Stegostoma tigrinum: one gene and its partners. The protein of the gene in region 3 binds, or shares a complex with, the protein of the main gene of each other region. Links are inferred from orthologs where the notes say so. Each region holds a gene or a part of one and is shown on either strand. Other genes may lie near its edges. The genes, in order: phosphatidylinositol N-acetylglucosaminyltransferase subunit Y-like, dpm2 and pigh.

Evidence for each region.
Region 1: pigh (region 3) and phosphatidylinositol N-acetylglucosaminyltransferase subunit Y-like share a complex: the UniProt entries of both Homo sapiens proteins name them as parts of the glycosylphosphatidylinositol-N-acetylglucosaminyltransferase (GPI-GnT) complex. The link is inferred for Stegostoma tigrinum from reciprocal best matches to the Homo sapiens genes PIGH and PIGY.
Region 2: pigh (region 3) and dpm2 share a complex: the UniProt entries of both Homo sapiens proteins name them as parts of the glycosylphosphatidylinositol-N-acetylglucosaminyltransferase (GPI-GnT) complex. The link is inferred for Stegostoma tigrinum from reciprocal best matches to the Homo sapiens genes PIGH and DPM2.

Annotation. Positions count from the first base shown.
Region 1 is NC_081370.1:36,824,820-36,830,157, forward strand, and holds phosphatidylinositol N-acetylglucosaminyltransferase subunit Y-like, read left to right. Parts: upstream 1-2,797; coding exon 2,798-3,013; 3' UTR 3,014-3,815; downstream 3,816-5,338. Other genes in the region: protein preY, mitochondrial-like, read left to right, coding at 243-434, 2,554-2,704. UniProt on the Homo sapiens protein: Part of the glycosylphosphatidylinositol-N-acetylglucosaminyltransferase (GPI-GnT) complex that catalyzes the transfer of N-acetylglucosamine from UDP-N-acetylglucosamine to phosphatidylinositol and participates in the first step of GPI biosynthesis.
Region 2 is NC_081382.1:40,458,987-40,465,692, reverse strand, and holds the start of dpm2 (dolichol phosphate-mannose biosynthesis regulatory protein), read right to left. Parts: upstream 4,624-6,706; 5' UTR 4,588-4,623; coding exon 4,585-4,587; intron 3,700-4,584; exon of another isoform or gene 3,611-3,699; intron 915-3,610; coding exon 825-914; intron 1-824. UniProt on the Homo sapiens protein: Regulates the biosynthesis of dolichol phosphate-mannose. Regulatory subunit of the dolichol-phosphate mannose (DPM) synthase complex; essential for the ER localization and stable expression of DPM1.
Region 3 is NC_081363.1:80,336,995-80,343,700, reverse strand, and holds the start of pigh (phosphatidylinositol N-acetylglucosaminyltransferase subunit H), read right to left. Parts: upstream 3,498-6,706; 5' UTR 3,442-3,497; coding exon 3,268-3,441; intron 816-3,267; coding exon 606-815; intron 1-605. UniProt on the Homo sapiens protein: Part of the glycosylphosphatidylinositol-N-acetylglucosaminyltransferase (GPI-GnT) complex that catalyzes the transfer of N-acetylglucosamine from UDP-N-acetylglucosamine to phosphatidylinositol and participates in the first step of GPI biosynthesis.

The DNA of each region.
Region 1 (5,338 bases), on a different chromosome or scaffold from region 3:
GGAGGGAAAGCTGGGTATCTGCAGTGCAGATGTGTATGACACAGATTTTGCTGCAGTTTGGTACCTAATGGCACTTTTAATTGATTGGAGTCGCCTTTATTCGTTCAATTTCTGGAACAGCATCTTCCTGAAAGTGAGTGAGCTCTACAATTTACAGCAGCATTTGCCCTTTTCAATGGGGGTGAAAGGTGGAGGGGGCGGGGCTAGTGCTTTAGCCCGGATGCGGAAGTGTTGGTGGTGAGTCTGGAGTTTCGGGTGGGAATGATTCGGGTTGGGTACGGGTCTCGCATCCGGGGAGCGGCCCGGAGGCTTCTGCATCTCTCCCGGGCCAGGCTGTCAGGAGAATCGGTAACCGGGGAGGGAGACAGGAAGGCTGCTCTGGACCCGACCCTGCTCCCGTATCTGGTGTGTCCCCTGTCCAGAAAGCAGCTCAGGTTCGTCCTTGGGGAAGGTCAGAGACTAGGACAGGGGAGATATCCTATGTCTAGCAACAGGAGAACGAGTCGCTGAAAATAACTAGATTGCTGTTAAGAAGTGCTAGCACATTCTTGATCGTCTGAATGGTCTCCTCTTCACAATTCGGGATGGCGGAGCGGAATGGAGGCAGAGAGTAGGAACAATGAATTTGATTTTTGAGTTGAAGGGAACTGGAGCGGGTTCAGGGAAGGGATTGAACTGGCCTCAAAGCAGGATTTTGCAAAGTGAAAGACCGTTCCGAGGACCTTTAATGGAATCTGGGTTTCATTGTGGCCCTGGAGGAAGGTGGATAATCTCAGAGCACCTAATACTGCAAGGAGAGGACTCCCATCAGCTCTGTGGATGTTTCTACTGTGCAATGCCAACACAAAATGTTCTCTAAAATAATGCAAACAACTAGTATTTATATAGTGCCTCTCATTACCACCAAACGTCTGAAGATGTTTCTGAATTAGTGAAGTACCTTTCCACTGTTGTAATGTACAGATATGCAAACAAGGATGTGATATTGACCAGCAGTCTTTTTTCATGATGGAGACAGATGAACATTCTTATAGAAGAATGAGGGGGATTTATAAAAAACTTTTACAATTATGAAATGAGTCAATAGAAGCAAGGAGCATGTTTCCACTGGTGGGAGAAACTAGAACAAGAGGACATAGCCTCAAAATTACAGGAAGCAGATTTGGCACTGAATTGAGTTGTGAATTGGCAGAATTCTCTGCCCACTGAAGTAATTAAGGGTTAGAATGAGAGGGTGGATAAGTGGAGCTGAGGCCATGAAAATATCAGCGATAATCTTACTGAATGGCAGCTGGTCTACTCCTACACCTAGTTCTTATGTTCTGTGAATACCAGACAACTGTCCAGCTTTTTCTTTTGAATAGTACAGCAGTCCTTCTGTATTGAATTCCTGTCCCCAGATAGTGCCATGTTCCCTTAGTACTGTAGTGGCTGTATCCACCTAGGTTTGTAGACTCACATCTCTGGGGTGAGACTCAAACACCTGGTTTCCTGATTCTGATGTGAGTGTGCTTGCTAAGTGATGGGTTGTCAGCAGATTGACTGAACAAAAGCAGGATGTCTTGATGCCTTTAGACTGGAGGAATTTTTGTCTTGATTGTACACCAGAAACATTCAGAGTATTCAAATCAAAGGAAGTGGCTTGTGGGAAGTAAATAGATGCAATGGTTCTGCCTCCTTGATAGTATTGCCATTTATGTACTGTAGCCAGAGCAGGAATGGCTTTTTGGTTTGGGGCTGTTCGTTCTTCATTTTAGAAGCTCAGAACTGTTATACAATTGACTTCAATCCTGTTTAGTTAGAGGAGAGGGATGAAACGCCTACATGGATTCTTCATCCTGAAGATTTAGCAAGTATGTCTATGAGTGTCTTGACTGCAACACCATTCTCAATCAAATAGCTTACCATTTGCTTTTAAGATACTTGTGTAAATAATAATTTCCTTGTTGAGTCTAAGCTACAAATGATTGAAGAACTCCATCCCATCAAAAAGTAAACATCTTCAGGGAAGTGTAGAGAGAAGAATGGAAATACATACAAGATTAACAGTATCTGAACCAGAAAAGTGGGTTTGTTTAGCAGATCAATTCTGATCTCTGTACCAAAGGAAGTTGAGTTTAATAAAATTATCAGTTTGTTGTTAAAGATAACAATTTCCCCACATTTATTTTTCATGTTTTGTTTTGTTTTGTTTCTGTCCTGGCTATGTTTCACCTTTTAAATCAGTCAGTTAGCAACATACCCTCCCAAAGCTACAATTTTGCACAACAGCTTGGCAGTTCTCCCCACTGACCCTCGACCACAACACTTGTATTACATGCAATCAGCTGATGAAAATATCAGGTTTCTTGAGCTTGTGAAAGAAACTGTGTAAATGCAGAAGTGTTCGCTTGTCTTTCCAACTCTTTTGAAAATTGGAAATGTTTTGAGAATCATAGAAAGATATTGCCTTTTGAAACATAACATTTTCAACCAGATTAAAAGGGCAGACTCCAGTTCCAACTCATTTTGAATGAGCTGCAGTTTAATACTTTGCTTCTGTCACCTTTATAGATATGATGAATCCTCCAATCAGCTGATCAATGATGAGTTGGGAATAGCCTATCCTGTTGTCGATGGAATTCCCAACATGATCCCTCAGGATGCAAAGTTAATTCGCAAGAGTGAAGACACACCCAAGGCGGAAGAACTTTCACAGCAGTAAACGGATCACACATTGCTTCTGGAAGTGGTGGGGAACTCTGGAAGTTTGAGATTATTTTAAAGGGAGGGAGCTTATCTTGCGTATTGCAAGATAATGACAATCTATCTGTCAACTCTCACAGTGCTGGTTCCCCTGTTCTCTTTAGCTGGGCTGTTGTACTCAGCTGCATTTGACAAGGATTTTCCACAGGGCTGCACTAGTATGGCCAGCTTGTGTTTCTACAGCCTACTACTCCCCATCACTATCCCAGTGTTTGTATTTTTTCACCTATGGAGCTGGATGGGGATTAAACTTTTCAGGCATAACTAATTTGAGTTCAAAAGCTATTGCGTATGATGATGTTTGTGGTGACCTGACGGCATCAACCTCTCAAATGAAATTTAGTTTCAGTAACAAGGTTTTTCCATTGGCTTGGAGGTATTTAGAATCTTGAGTGTATTATTGGTGGAAATTGGCACTGTTTTGGTTAACTTGTTCCTTACACACAAAATGCGAGGCATTCACTTTTGCCTCATCATGGTACATTTTTCTGGTAATGTTCAGTTCCATTGGCTTCATTCCCAGTGACTGCAATGCAGGAGACATTAACAGGCAGTCCATTTGAACCAGTTCGATACGGATTTCTGTCTTGAAGAAACAGTGTAACCAAAGTCACATCAAATTCCACCACAATGTCAGATGCAAATAAACCATGGAAATTCATTATAACAAAGGTTTAGTTTTGGTGCTTTTGACCTTGCTTTCGAAGACACTTGCTGTTTGCCTGGGTATTTAGCCACACTTGTGGTCTGTATTTGAGTTTCCTTGCCTGTATTCTGTTACTTTCACACGTTGCTTGGTAGGTAGTACAATGATTTCTTGATTCAGAAGGTTGTAGTTTAAGTTCCATGTTTGCTGATACTCCAGTGTAGTACTGAGAAAATATCACATTGTCAAAAATGCTCTCTTTTAAATGTTAACCAAAGCCCTGTCTGCTCCCTTGTGTAGAAGTAAAAACTTCCATGGTGCTATTTAAAAGAAAAGCAGGGGAGTGTTCATTGGCTATCTGACTAATGTCTGTCCTTCAAGCAACAACATTTGAAAAAATAAACATGTTATCTGGCAAATATCATATCGATGTTTGTGGGAACTTCCTGGGCATATGTTGGCTGTCACATTTTCAATGGTTCAACCATGACTTCACTTCAAAAGTACTTCAGGATGGCCCAAAGTGTATTATAATTAATGAAATGCCTTATCAGGGGGAAGTAACAAAGTGCTGGAGGAAGCCTGGCAGCAGCTGTGGAGGGGGAAACAGAGCTAACATTTCAAGTGTAGAATGACTCTTCCTGCACTTGCAGTATTTTGCTTTTATTAGGACTGGGAGCCCTTCCTTTACTGAATTTTCTTCAGAAGAAGCTGGGCATAGAATAGGCTAGAATCAGTCTAGGTCAGAAGTTGCTGAAAACTTAATACAACCATGGAATGACCTGTCATTGTAAACTAAGTTACTGGTAATGAGCAGTTCGAGTCATCTACATGTTGAAAGCAGATGATTATTTCCATACCATGCAGTTTGAGTTATCTTTAAATAAAGCAATTTGAAGCAAATGTTTCATCTCCATCACTAGACTGTCTGGCTGTAGACTGGATATTTTTTACCTCAGTTAAGATGGGGTGAAGTTGACCAGAGATTGCAAATTCTGCTTCAATGGGATGCAGTGGGAGGAGGGGAGATATTGAAGCTGGTGAAATCCACATTGATACCATTAGGCTGCAGGGTTCCCAAACGGAATATGAGTTGCTGTTCCTGCAACCTATGGGTGACATCATTATGGCACTGCTGGAGGCCCAGGATAGACATGTGCATCCCAAAACCAGTCCAGCTTGTCCCTGTCTGCCTAACCTGTTCTTCCTCTCACCTATCCCCTCCTCCCACCTCCATTTCCTACCTACTAACCTCATCCTGCCCCCTTGACCTGTCTGTCCTCCCCGGACTGACCTATCCCCTTCCTACCTCGCCACCCGTACTCTCCTCTCCAACTATCTTCTCCTCTATCCATCTTCAGTCTGCCTACCACCCCCTCCCTATTTATTTCAGAATCCTCTCCCCATCCCCCTTTTCTGATGAAGGGTCTAGGCCCGAAACGCCAGCTTTTGTGCTCTCAAAATGCTGCTTGGCCTGCTGTGTTCATCCAGCCCCACACTTTGTTATTTTGGATTCTCCAGCATCTGCAGTTCCCTTTATCTCTGTTTATAAAAAGGAAATTGCTTGACAAATTCAAGGTTTGTTTTGATGTAACCAATGGTATAGACAAAGAGGAGCCACCTTGTTCTAGAAATCACCAGAGGAAACAATTTTTGTCTATCTCTTTATCATCTTAAACATTTCAATTCAACCACCCCTCAAATTGTTTTAATCAACCTATTCTGACGTTATCACCTTTGGAGCAGACGGGACTGGAATCCAAGCCTCCTGGCTATCGGCACAACCACTGTGCCAAAGGAGCACCTTTCTTAATTTTCTATAACTTGGCCAATAGTGATGTGGGAAACCTCATTTCATAATTTAACCTTCTATGTACTGGTTATCATTCTGAGGAATCTCTATTGAGTTACTCCAAGGCCAATATAGTAGAGGAGACAAGTGGTGTA
Region 2 (6,706 bases), on a different chromosome or scaffold from region 3:
GGCCATTCCACTCAACCTGCACACCTTTGTAGTGTAGGAAGAATGTGTGAACTCTCCACAGACTATTGCCTGATGGTGGAATTGATCCTGGGTCACTGACGCTATGAGGTAGCAGTGCTAACCACTGAGCCACCGCACCGCCCCAGTTTAGGATATCAGGTTGGCATGGACGAGTTGGGCCAAAAGGCCTGTTTCCATGCTGCATAACTCTATGAATCCTGCTCTTATCATCAGTGATAGGTGCATCAGTAGGATTTACAGATCAACAATCAATCTGATGGGCTTTGCCCTGAGGTGTGCCTTGAACATGTACTTACTGGCCTAGAAATAAAAACACTACCCACTGTGTTATAAAACATCTTATTTGGAGGTCTCTATATGATGGAAGTTAATATCATAATTTGCTTCATAATTTTTTCAGGCATATCTTTTGGATCATAACTTAGCTCACACACTCATCAAACTGCCAGCTTTCCTATTGATAGAAATCTGCAACTTCTGGAACCGACTGCCTTGCCAATAGCCTAATATTTAGACATTACTTTAACGGAAACTGTTTAATATTAGATTACGTTGAAACTAAATACTTCCATTCAGAGATTGATAGACTTTTGGACACAGTGAATTGAAGGACATGGGCAGCAGGTGAGTAAGTGGGGTCAAAGTCCAGGATTAATCACAATCAGTAAATTGAGGGGTCACAAAAAAAGGAAACTTAAACAATTCTGGAAATTAATCCAAACTCTCACTATCTTTCTGATTCATGGAATTATTTAAACTATCTAAATCTATCGATGTCAAATACTTTTAAAATCAGCACTCACCAGAACAATGACCCAGATTGTGTAGTATGTGAAAACCACTAAGCTGAACCCCACCAGACCCATTCCAACCACTTGGTCTGCTCCTGTTGCCTGAGAGAGGAAAAGAGGAGGGGTTAAAGGAGAAACATTGAAAAGCATGCCCTTTCATAAACGGCCAGTAAAGTTCATACCAAATAACTGCCAAGCATTCTAAAAGGCAAGAATCTAACTATCTCCCCTTGACGCTCACAGTTGAATTCCTCATAGTCAACATCCTGGGTTCACCACTGATCAGAAACCTACCTGGACCTGTGCTGAGTAGCTCCACAAAGCCTGCTGCACTATTCATTAGACAAGTCAAAAGCATGAGGGAACTGTCCACTTAGTTGGAAGTGTGCAGCTCCAGCTACATCCAAAAACGTCAACACCACCCTGAGACAAAACAGACCACTTCAGTGACATACAAACTAGCACCTTCAACTTTCACTTCCGCCAATGCACAAGGGAATGGTACCATCAACAAGATGCATTCGGGCAACTCACCAAGTCTCCTTCAACAGCACCTTCCTAACACACAATATCTACCTCTAGAAAGAGGGGGGCAGCAGGCACACAGAGACACCACCACCTGCAAATTCCCCTCCGAAAGACACGCCATCCAGGCTTGGAAACGTGTCATTGCTCCTTCACGCAGAGAGTGTCAAGACCGTGAGATGTTATTCACTTGTGAGAAACTATGAAAAAGGAAACAGAGGAGCAGAAGTAGGTTATTCAGCCCCTGAAGTAGCCCGAGCATTCCAGATCATGGCTGATCATCGACAACAACATCACTTTGCTAAGCTATCCCCATATCCCTTACTATCGTAACTAACTATAAATTTATTGATCTCTGTACTTAGGGTACGACGAAGCTCCCACAGCCCTCTGAGGCACAGAATCATAAAGAGTCACCTCCTCAGGTAAGAAATTCTTGATCATCTCAATCTTAAACAGCCTGCTTTCCTTCTCACCCTAAAGTCAATCTAGTTCACAGGAATATTGTGCAGAAGAATGGTGAAATGCTGAGTAGAACAAACAACTGGGAAAGCTAATACAATGCTTTGCTGTTTGTTGAGAGGGGGAAATCAAACACAAAAGGAAGGAGATAACAAGGCGCAGAGTTAGATGAAAGGTTTTGGGCAGACAGGGAAACCGGGAGCAGTTGCGGCAAAAGGGAAACGTAAGTAAATCCAAACAGAAAATGTCAAGTATTCGGACTGAGACAAGTCAAAAGCACAAGGGAACTGTCCAATTAGCAGGAATTCGGACAGCACGGCACCCACCTCCACACTGACCCTCCCACCGTGAGGCGCTCCCTCAGCGCTGACCCTCCGACGGCGCCCGCTCCCTCAGCGCTGACCCTCCGACGGCGCCCGCTCCCTCAGCGCTGACCCTCCGACGGCGCCCGCTCCCTCAGCGCTGACCCTCCGACGGCGCCCGCTCCCTCAGCGCTGACCCTCAGACGGCGCCCGCTCCCTCAGCGCTGACCCTCAGACGGCGCCCGCTCCCTCAGCGCTGACCCTCAGACGGCGCCCGCTCCCTCAGCGCTGACCCTCAGACGGCGCCCGCTCCCTCAGCGCTGACCCTCAGACGGCGCCCGCTCCCTCAGCGCTGACCCTCAGACGGCGCCCGCTCCCTCAGCGCTGACCCTCCGACGGCGCCCGCTCCCTCAGCGCTGACCCTCCGACGGCGCCCGCTCCCTCAGCGCTGACCCTCCGACGGCGCCCGCTCCCTCAGCGCTGACCCTCCGACGGCGCCCGCTCCCTCAGCGCTGACCCTCCGACGGCGCCCGCTCCCTCAGCGCTGACCCTCCGACGGCGCCCGCTCTCTCAGCGCTGACCCTCCGACGGCGCCCGCTCCCTCAGCGCTGACCCATTGAAAGTGCCCGCTCCCTCAGCACTGACCCTCCGACAGTGCCCGCTCCCTCAGCACTGACCCTCCGACAGTGCCGGCTCCCTCAGCACTGACCCTCCGACAGTGCCGGCTCCCTCAGCACTGACCCTCCGACAGTGCCCGCTCCCTCAGCACTGACCCATTGAAAGTGCCCGCTCCCTCAGCACTGACCCTCCGACAGTGCCCGCTCCCTCAGCACTGACCCTCCGACAGTGCCCGCTCCCTCAGCACTGACCCATTGAAAGTGCCCGCTCCCTCAGCACTGACCCTCCGACAGTGCCGGCTCCCTCAGCACTGACCCTCCGACAGTGCCCGCTCCCTCAGCACTGACCCTCCGACAGTGCCGGCTCCCTCAGCACTGACCCTCCGACAGTGCCCGCTCCCTCAGCACTGACCCATTGAAAGTGCCCGCTCCCTCAGCACTGACCCTCCGACAGTGCCCGCTCCCTCAGCACTGACCCTCCGACAGTGCCCGCTCCCTCAGCACTGACCCATTGAAAGTGCCCGCTCCCTCAGCACTGACCCTCCGACAGTGCCGGCTCCCTCAGCACTGACCCTCCGACAGTGCCCTGTCCCTCAGCACTGACCCTCCGACGGCGCCCGCTCTCTCAGCACTGACCCTCCGACGGCGCCCGCTCTCTCAGCACTGACCCTCCGACGGCGCCCGCTCCCTCAGCACTGACCCTCCGACAGTGCCCGCTCCCTCAGCACTGACCCTCCGACAGTGCCGGCTCCCTCAGCACTGACCCTCCGACAGTGCCCGCTCCCTCGGCACTGACCCTCCGACAGTGCCCGCTCCCTCGGCACTGACCCTCCGACAGTGTCCACTCCCTCGGCACTGACCCTCCGACGGCGCCCGCTCCCTCGGCACTGACCCTGTGACAGTGTCCACTCCCTCGGCACTGACCCTCCGACAGTGCCCGCTCCCTCAGCACTGACCCTCCGACGGCGCCCGCTCCCTCGGCACTGACCCTCCGACAGTGCCCACTCCCTCGGCACTGACCCTCCGACAGTGCCCACTCCCTCAGCACTGACCCTCCGACGGCGCCCGCTCCCTCAGCACTGACCCTCCGACAGTGCCCGCTCCCTCAGCACTGACCCTCCGACAGTGCCCACTCCCTCAGCACTGACCCTCCGACGGCGCCCGCTCCCTCAGCACTGACCCTCCGACAGTGCCCGCTCCCTCGGCACTGACCCTCCGACAGTGCCCACTCCCTCAGCACTGACACTCTGACAGTGCCCACTCCCTCAGCACTGACCATCTGACAGTGCCCGCTCCCTCAGCACTGACCCTCCGACAGTGCCCGCTCCCTCAGCACTGACCCTCCGACAGTGTCCACTCCCTCGGCACTGACCCTGTGACAGTGTCCACTCCCTCAGCACTGACCCTCCGACAGTGCCCGCTCCCTCAGCACTGACCCTCCGACAGTGTCCACTCCCTCGGCACTGACCCTGTGACAGTGTCCACTCCCTCGGCACTGACCCTCTGACAGTGTCCACTCCCTCGGCACTGACCCTGTGACAGTGTCCACTCCCTCGGCACTGACCCTGTGACAGTGTCCACTCCCTCAGCACTGACCCTCCGACAGTGACCACTCCCTCAGCACTGACCCTCCGACAGTGTCCACTCCCTCAGCACTGACCCTGTGACAGTGTCCGCTCCCTCAGCACTGACCCTCCGACAGTGACCACTCCCTCAGCACTGACCCTGTGACAGTGTCCACTCCCTCAGCACTGACCCTCCGACAGTGTCCACTCCCTCAGCACTGACCCTCCGACAGTGTCCACTCCCTCAGCACTGACCCTCTGACAGTGTCCACTCCCTCGGCACTGACCCTCTCTCACTCACCATCTCCACTCGCTTCGGCCAAACTTCCACTTCCGGAGTCAGACGCAACGTCTTTGTTCCTGACCAATCAGCGCCTTGGAGGTTTAATTTCCCCCGCCCCCCCGTTCCCCATTCCTGCTCGTTTCCGCGGCACCTCTCTCCCATTGGCCCCTGTCGCCATCAATCATCACCCCGTGTCGCTCGCGCTCATGCCTGCAATGACGTCTGGTGCTGCTGCACCGCCCTCTGTCGGTGAGGGCCGGTAGTTTCCCCTGAGTCACTGATTCCCTTTCCCCATGCCACTCTCCACCACCACCAGCCTGCACATCTCCTGTCCCCAACACAGTGCTCAGTCCCAATCCCCTCATTCCCTTCCCCTCACTCCAAAACCTCATCCTCCATCCCTGCACCCCATCCCAAACCCAACCCCCCATCCTAACCCTACTGTTCCCGCCACTGCATTATTATCAATTCTCATTCCCACGCCCTTTTCGTTTATGTCCCATACTATCTGTTGAACTCTTTCTGGAGAGGTCCCTGCAGTCTGATGATCAAGTTAAAACTGTACGTTCCATCAAGCTCATGAGGTAGCCTCTTGTCATTGCAAAATCAATCTTCTCGCCCCATCCCAATCCCTTGGCTCCACCGCTATCCCAAACCCCAATCCCAGCCCCATCCAACACCAAATCTCTCCACTCCACCTCCTTTCTCAAACCCGTTTTCAAATCATTCCCAGACCAAAAATCAATCTTCTAATGCAAATATATCACAAATCCCAGCCCAATCTAACCAATTTTCCCAGGCCCAAAACCAACTCAGTTGAGCAGTCTCACAATCTAAACCATCTCTTCCAAACCAAATTTGAACCCCAAGCCCAGCCCAGCATATCCCAGCCCTCCTTAACCCCAAAACTGTCTCCCGAACCACCCAGCCCAGCCCAAACCCAATCCCAATCTAGTCCTCCAACCCCACCACACCCGGCACCTTCCCCTGCAACCGCAGGAAATGCTACACTTGCCCCCACACCTCCTCCCTCATCCCTATCCCAGGCCCCAAGATGACTTTCCATATTAAGCAGAGGTTCACCTGCACATCTGCCAATGTGGTATACTGCATCCATTGTACCCGGTGTGGCTTCCTCTACATTGGGGAAACCAAGTGGAGGCTTGGGGGCCACTATGCAGAACACCTCCGCTCAGTTCGCAACAAACAACTGCACCTCCCAGTCGCAAACCATTTCCACTCCCCCTCCCATTCTTTAGATGACATGTCCATCATGGGCCTCCTGCAGTGCCCCAATGACGCCACGGGAAGGTTGCAGGAACAGCAACTCATATTCCGCTTGGGAACTCTGCAGCCCAATGGTATCAATGTGGACTTCACCAGCTTCAAAATCTCCCCTTCCCCCACCGCATCCCAAAACCAGCCCAGTTCGTCCCCTCCCCCCACTGCACCACACAACTAGCCCAGCTCTTCCCCTCCACCCACTGCATCCCAAAACCAGTCCAATCTGTCTCTGCCTCCCTAACCTGTTCTTCCTCTCACCCATCCCTTCCTCCCACCCCAAGCCGCACCTCCATCTCCTACCTACTAACCTCATCCCACCTCCTTGACCTGTTCGTCTTCCCTGGACTGACCTATCCCCTCCCTACCTCCCCACCTATACTCTCCTCTCCGCCTATCTTCTTTTCTCTCCATCTTCGGTCCGCCTCCCCCTCTCTCCCTATTTATTCCAGAACCCTCTCCCCATCCCCCTCGCTGATGAAGGGTCTAGGCCCGAAACGTCAGCTTTTGTGCTCCTGAGGTGCTGTTTGGCCTGCTGTGTTCATCCAGCCTCACATTTTATTATCCCCAATGTAGTCCTGTCTCTCAACCTCAACTTAAACTTTTGTGTAGCCCAGTGTCCCAGTTCATCTCCAAAGTGATGGATTGACTCGTGCCACTCTCTGATTTTCAAGAACTACAGTTCCTCCTCCTCGTTGTCTCCTGGACAACCATTTCTCCGAATTAGAGAGTTGGTAGAAAGAAGGGTCTAGGCCTGAAGCGTTAGCTTTCCTGCTCCTCTGATGCTGCTTGGCCTGCTGTGTTCATCCAGCTCCACACCTTGTTATGTCAGATTTGTCTGAATGAGTCAGCCATCATG
Region 3 (6,706 bases):
ACCCTAGCTGACGGGAGTTGGGAAGCTCTCAGCAATGGAAGCTCAAGAAACAGCATTTCATTTTCCAGTTAGGTGCTTCAATGGTGTTCAGTTTAGTTCAGGCGGCTGGAAGTTGGGTTGTGAAGCAGTGTGATGCCAAGAGCGTGGGTTCAATCCCCACATCAGCTGAGGTTACCACGAAGGGCTCTCCTTCTCAAGCTCTCCCCAGACTAGAGGTGTGGTGGCCCTCAGGTTACATCACCAGTCCTCTCACACTCTCACTCACCAGAAACCCATGGTCTGACTCCCAACACACATTTCAACAGTAGGGCACTTCAAAAGAAAAAAAAATAATTTGAGATACTGGAGGTGATGAAAAGCATTGTACCAATGTGAATTCTGATTGTGGCCTATCAATTTTCTGACAGCAGCTATGCAATTCTCAAATTTCATGTAGTGTTTATTACAACATTAAAGACAGAAGATGCAGTTTCTCCAGGACTGAATAGTTTAAACAAGGAAAGTGTTCAAACATTAAACAGTCCTTCACGTTCAGGTTCCATATTTGTTGTTACTCTGCAGTAGAGTGTCAGTAACTTAAGGAATCATTACTCCGTCTCACTTACCATATAAATGGCTTCATTGATCACAATATCTTTCACCTTCCTCATCTCAATGAATCTCACACTCTCTCTGCCAGAAGCATACACGGTGTTCATCTGGACTCCAATCGATCCAATGATCAGCATTGACTCCTGATCAATCTTAAATAAGTGGAGGTGCAGCATCATCCCAACGAGAGTCAAAACAATGGAAGCTGAGAGCACTAGAGTGTTCTGCAAGAAGCAATTTGCAACAAAGACTATCAGGGCAGTTCCTGCAACCTGTTCACGAAGCCAACTTGAACTTTTAATAATGGAAACTGAAAATGCCCAGCAGGTCTGCACCCAGTTCTGATTACAGATCATGGACCTGCAACGTTAACTCTGTTTCACTTTCTACAGATGCTGAGTTTCTCCAGCATTCTCTGCTTCTATTTCTGATCTCCAGCATTCACAGTACCTCACATGTATTAGAAACTGCCCTTTATTTTGTATCACTGCCTATTAAAATGCATCACTACAGATTTGTTATTATGAAATAACAATAGGGAATCTAATCCAGTCTGCTATATGTCTGACCAATAATTCTGCCTACGTCCTCTTGAGGTATATTACTTCTCTTCACTGTTCACAACAATACTTCCAATTTTTTGTCATCTACTAATTACACCCTGTGCAGTTAAGTTTATTGTCATTATATAGATCAAGACTAACAGTATGATCCTGGTACTGATTCTTGAGGGAACCCTCCTATGCAAAACAAAAGTCAGCTTTTTATTACTACACTGTCTCCTGTCACTCAGCTAACTGCGTAGCCAATGATACCACTATGTCTTTTATTCTGCAGGATTTAGCTTTGTTGCAGAGCCAGGATGTGGCCCTCTAATACATAGCTTTGGGAAGATGATTCACACTACATCAACTCTCTGTGTGAGTGCCGCAGAAAAAAAAACTCTTAGTCAAATGATTTGCTTTAAATAAATCCACGCTGACTTTTGTTTGTTAATCCACACTTGCTTACTGACTGCTTATTATGTCCTATTTTATCTCGACTGCTTTCCACCAGCGAGGCTAGAGAGTGACTGACCAATAGCTGTTGGGATTACCTTTATATCCTTTCTCAACAAGGGTGTAACATTTGCCCTCTGGCACAAATGAGTATTTGAGGAAAAGAAGATGATTATGGCTAGCAAGTCTGAAATTTCAACTCTTCACACTGCATCCAGTCCTGGGGATAAATCAACTAAGTGCACAACCAGCCTGTCTAATGTTATGTCTTTATCAAGTTCCTCAAGGTTGTGTCCATGGCAGAATTGTACTCAACTGCTTTTGTCAATGATCTTCTCTCCATCAGAAGTGGGAATGCTCAATGATTGCACAATGTTCACAATTCATTACCAGCCTGTCTAATGTTATGTCTTTATCAAGTTCCTCAAGGTTGTGTCCATGGCAGAATTGTACTCAACTGCTTTTGTCAATGATCTTCTCTCCATCAGAAGTGGGAATGCTCAATGATTGCACAATGTTCACAATTCATTACTTCTCAGATACTGATAGAGGCCATGTCCAAACGCAACAAGTCGTGGACAATATTCAGTGTGGGTTAACAAATGGCATGTCTCACACTCACTTCAGCAAAAGAAAATCTAACCATCACCCCTTGGTATTCAATAGCACTGCTACCAGTGAATCCCCACTATCAATATCCATTGACAAGAAACTAAACTGGTCTCGTCATACAAGTACAAAAGTGGGTCAAATGTTAGAATTCTTGCATGCCCATAATTCCCTAAGCCTGTCGGGCATTACAAGGCACAAGGCAGACGTATAACAGAAAACATTCCACTTGCCGAGATGGGTGCAGTTCAAACAACTCAAGAAGCTTCACACGATCCAAGTCAAAACAGTTGGCTGATTGAATTTGAATGTAGTGCCACTCTATCCACCAATGCTCTGTAGCTGCAGTGCGTACCATCAATAAGATGCACTACAAAAATTCACTAGGACTCCTTACACAGTACCTTCCAAACCCACATCAAGCTAGAAGGACAAGGGCAACAGAAACATGGGAATACCACCTCCTGCAAGTTCCACTCCAAGTCACTCATAATACAGACTTAGAAACATATCAACATTCCTTCACTGTCATTCAGTCAAAATCCTGGAACTCCCTTCCTAAGGGCTCTCTCTACCGACAGCACCAGCTTAAGGGGTAGCTAGAGAGGAAACAATAAGTGTTACCCATGTTCTGTGCGTGAGTGAAGGAATGAATTTATATTTAGTCCACCCATTATGAGTCACTGACGGAAAAGACAGGTATAAAGTGTTCATTTAGTACCTAGCCATGCCCTGCAAATACTCCCAGGTTGAGGATGCTAGCACATCGCTCACCTATTGAGCCCTGAGGAGTCACCTGTTAGGGTACTGCGCATGTGCGAAGCCGGACTGCGCACCTACAACGCAGTGGGGCGTGGTCACGACCTTGCGCGACAGGAGCAGGGGCCAATCGGTCTGGACAGCACCGGGGACGAGGCGTTCCCAGGCTATGACTGATTGGGGCGTCAGCCAATCGCAAATTGATCGCTGCCCGCCTAAAGGACTGGGACACACGTCATCAGGCCCCATCGTCCAATTAGTAGGTGTCCGCACCTCCTCCCACCCCCCCCCCCGGGGCCAACCCACCTACCTGCGTCCTGTTAAAGATGGCGTAAGCGACCAGCCAGATGGCGGCCGTGCACCCCAACACCGAACGCAGGGACATTTTCGGCGACAGGATTGTGAACTCGCGGCAGAGCGGCGAGTGGTGTCTTTGTTCGAGGGTGATGCAGCGGCCGCTTAGGTCTTTGAAAGTCGACGCCATGTCTCCCAAGCCCTGCTGGTGACGTCACGCCGCTGGGTGCGCCTGTCCACGTGACTGCGTGGGAACACCTGGCCTTTTAAAGGGACAGGCCACCTCCCCCAATCAACCAGGAGGAGCACCTTCAAACAACTGAAAGGTGCCAAGGTGCACTTACTTTGCAGCTAGCATCATGAAAATGGGGAACTTCCCTCACTATCAAAATCAAGGGGCTAATATTTAGTGATAATGGGAACTGCAGATGCTGGAGAATCCAAGATAATAAAACGTGAGGCTGGATGAACACAGCAGGCCAAGCAGCATCTCAGGAGCACAAAAGCTGACGTTTCGGGCCTAGACCCTTCATCAGAGAGGGGGAGGGGGTGAGGGTTCTGGAATAAATAGGGAGAGAGGGGGAGGCGGACCGAAGATGGAGAGAAAAGAAGATAGGTAGAGAGGAGAGTATAGGTGGGGAGGTAAGGAGGGGATAGGTCAGTCCAGGGAAGACGGACAGGTCAAGGAGGTGGGATGAGGTTAGTAGGTAGGAGATGGAGGTGCGGCTTGGGGTGGGAGGAAGGGATGGGTGAGAGGAAGAACAGGTTAGGGAGGCAGAGACAGGCTGGGCTGGTTTTGGGATGCAGTGGGTGGAGGGGAAGAGCTGAGCTGGTTGTGTGGTGCAGTGGGGGGAGGGGACGAACTGGGCTGGTTTAGGGATGCGGTGGGGGAAGGGGAGATTTTGAAACTGGTGAAGTCCACATCGATATCATTAGGCTGCAGGGTTTCCAAGCGGAATATGAGTTGCTGTTCCTGCAACCTTCGGGTGTCATCATTGTGGCACTGCAGGAGGCCCATGATGGACATGTCATCTAAAGAATGGGAGGGGGAGTGGAAATGGTTTGCGACTGGGAGGTGCAGTTGTTTGTTGCGAACCAAGCGGAGGTGTTCTGCAAAGCGGTCCCCAAGCCTCCGCTTGGTTTCCCCAATGTAGAGGAAGCCGCACCGGGTACAGTGGATGCAGTATACCACATTGGCAGATGTGCAGGTGAACCTCTGCTTAATGTGGAATGTCATCTTGGGGCCTGGGATAGGGGTGAGGGAGGAGGTGTGGGGGTAAGTGTAGCATTTCCTGCGGTTGCAGGGGAAGGTGCCGGGTGTGGTGGGGTTGGAGGGCAGTGTGGAGCGAACAAGGGAGTCACGGAGAGAGTGGTCTCTCCGGAAAGCAGACAGGGGTGGGGATGGAAAAATGTCTTGGGTGGTGGGGTCGGATTGTAGATGGCGGAAGTGTCGGCGGATGATGCGTTGTATCCGGAGGTTGGTGGGGTGGTGTGTAAGAACGAGGGGGATCCTCTTTGGGTGGTTGTGACGGGGGCGGGGTGTCAATTAAGCAGCAACGCGACTGGACTTGCCATATAAATAACTGAATGGCTACAAGAGCAGTTCAGAGGTTAAAAACACTCGTCTCCTGACTCCTCAAGGCCTGTCCATCATCTACAGGGCATAAGTCAGGGGTGTGATGGAATACTGGCCAGGTGCCTGACTAGTTACAGCTCCATTAACACAGCTTGATGCCACCGATGATTAGTTACAGCATTGTGTACTGTCTACGTAAGATGCACTGCAGAAGTTCAAAGACCATCAGACTGCACCTTCCAAATTCATGACCGGTTCCATCTAGAACATAGTCAACAGTGAAGAAAGTTATGTAAGATTACAAAGGAAATTGCAATCAATTGGCCAATGGGCCGAGGATTGGCAGATGAAGCTTAATTTACATAAATGCAAGGTATGGCATTTTGCTACAACAAACAAGGGCAGGTCATACGCAGTTAATGGTAGGGCCCTGGGTAGTGTCGCCGAACAGCGAGACAGAGGGGTTCAGGTAACAATCCTTTGAAAGCTGCATAAGACATAGTTTGGTTAAGAAGGGGTGTATGTGTGTGTGTTTGTTAAGAAGGTGTTTAGCAAGCTTGATTTCATCACTCAGATGTTTGTGTAGAGGATTTGGAAAGTCATGCTGAGGTTGTACCGGATGTCAGTGAGGCCATTTTTGGAGTACTGTGTACACTTCAGGTCATCCTGCTGAAGGATGGTTCGGAAAATATTTACCAGGATTTTGCTGGGAATGGAATAGGCTGGGAATTTTGTCACTGGAGTGTAGGAGTTGACAAGTGATCTTAAAGATTTTTTGAAATCAGGAGGGACATGGATAAGTTAACTGCAAAGGTCTTTTCCCTAGGGTGGGTGAGTTCAAAACTAGGGGACGTATTTTTAAGGTGCAAGGAGAAAAATTTAAAAGGGACCTAAGAGACAAGTTTTTCACGCAGAGGGTGGTTTGTGTGTGGAATGTACTGCCAGAGAAAGTGGTAGATGCAGGTACAGTTCCGGCATTTAAAAGACATTTGGATAGGCACATGAATAGGGAAGGTTTAGAGGGATATGGACCAAATGCAAGCAAGTGGGGTTAGTTTAGTCTAGGGAAACTTAGTTGGAATTGACAAGCTGGACCAAAGGGTCTGTTTCCATTCTGGATGACTACTGGGGAAAACCACCCCTGCAAGATTCTGTCCAAGTCATTCGCTATCCTGATGTGGAAATATCAGCATTCCTTCACTGTCATTGGGTCACAATCCTGGAATTGCCTCCCTCAGGATGCTGTGGTCTACCTATAGCACATGGGCTGCAACAGTTAAGAAGGCAGTTGGTGGGGGGGGGGGGGCGCGGTGCGAGCATTAACTGCTGACCAGCTAGTGATGCCCACATTCCCCTCAGTGAATTTAAACAAAATAGAGAGATTTCCACAGCTACCCTGCTGGTTCTTTCCCAGCATTTTCTGTTCATTACAGATTTCCAGCATCAGCAGTATTTTACCTTGTGAAATGCCAGAATTCCTGTTGAAAGGCCAGTTAACAAAACAGCCAGTGATTGAAACTCTAATACAAAGTAACCAATTCTTAAAAGAAAGGTGCTGTTTTAAGAAAAAGAAGGAATAACAAAAGTTGCAGTGTGCATCGATTGTTCGAAGAGGTCTGTGGCTAACCTTTTGTTTTCCCCTGCTTTTGTTTTTATGTGGGATGTGTACTTAGAAGGCAAGGCCAGCATTTGTTGATCACCTCAAATCTGAGTGGCTGGTCTGGCTTCCACCATTTTGCTGTGGATCTGGACTCTGCAAGGCTGGCAGATTCCCTTCTCGAAAGGACATGCTGGGGCAGCATGGTGGCTCAGTGGTTAGCACTGCAGTCTTACAGCGCCAGGGTCCTGGGTTCGATTCCAGCCTCGGGCGACTGTCTGT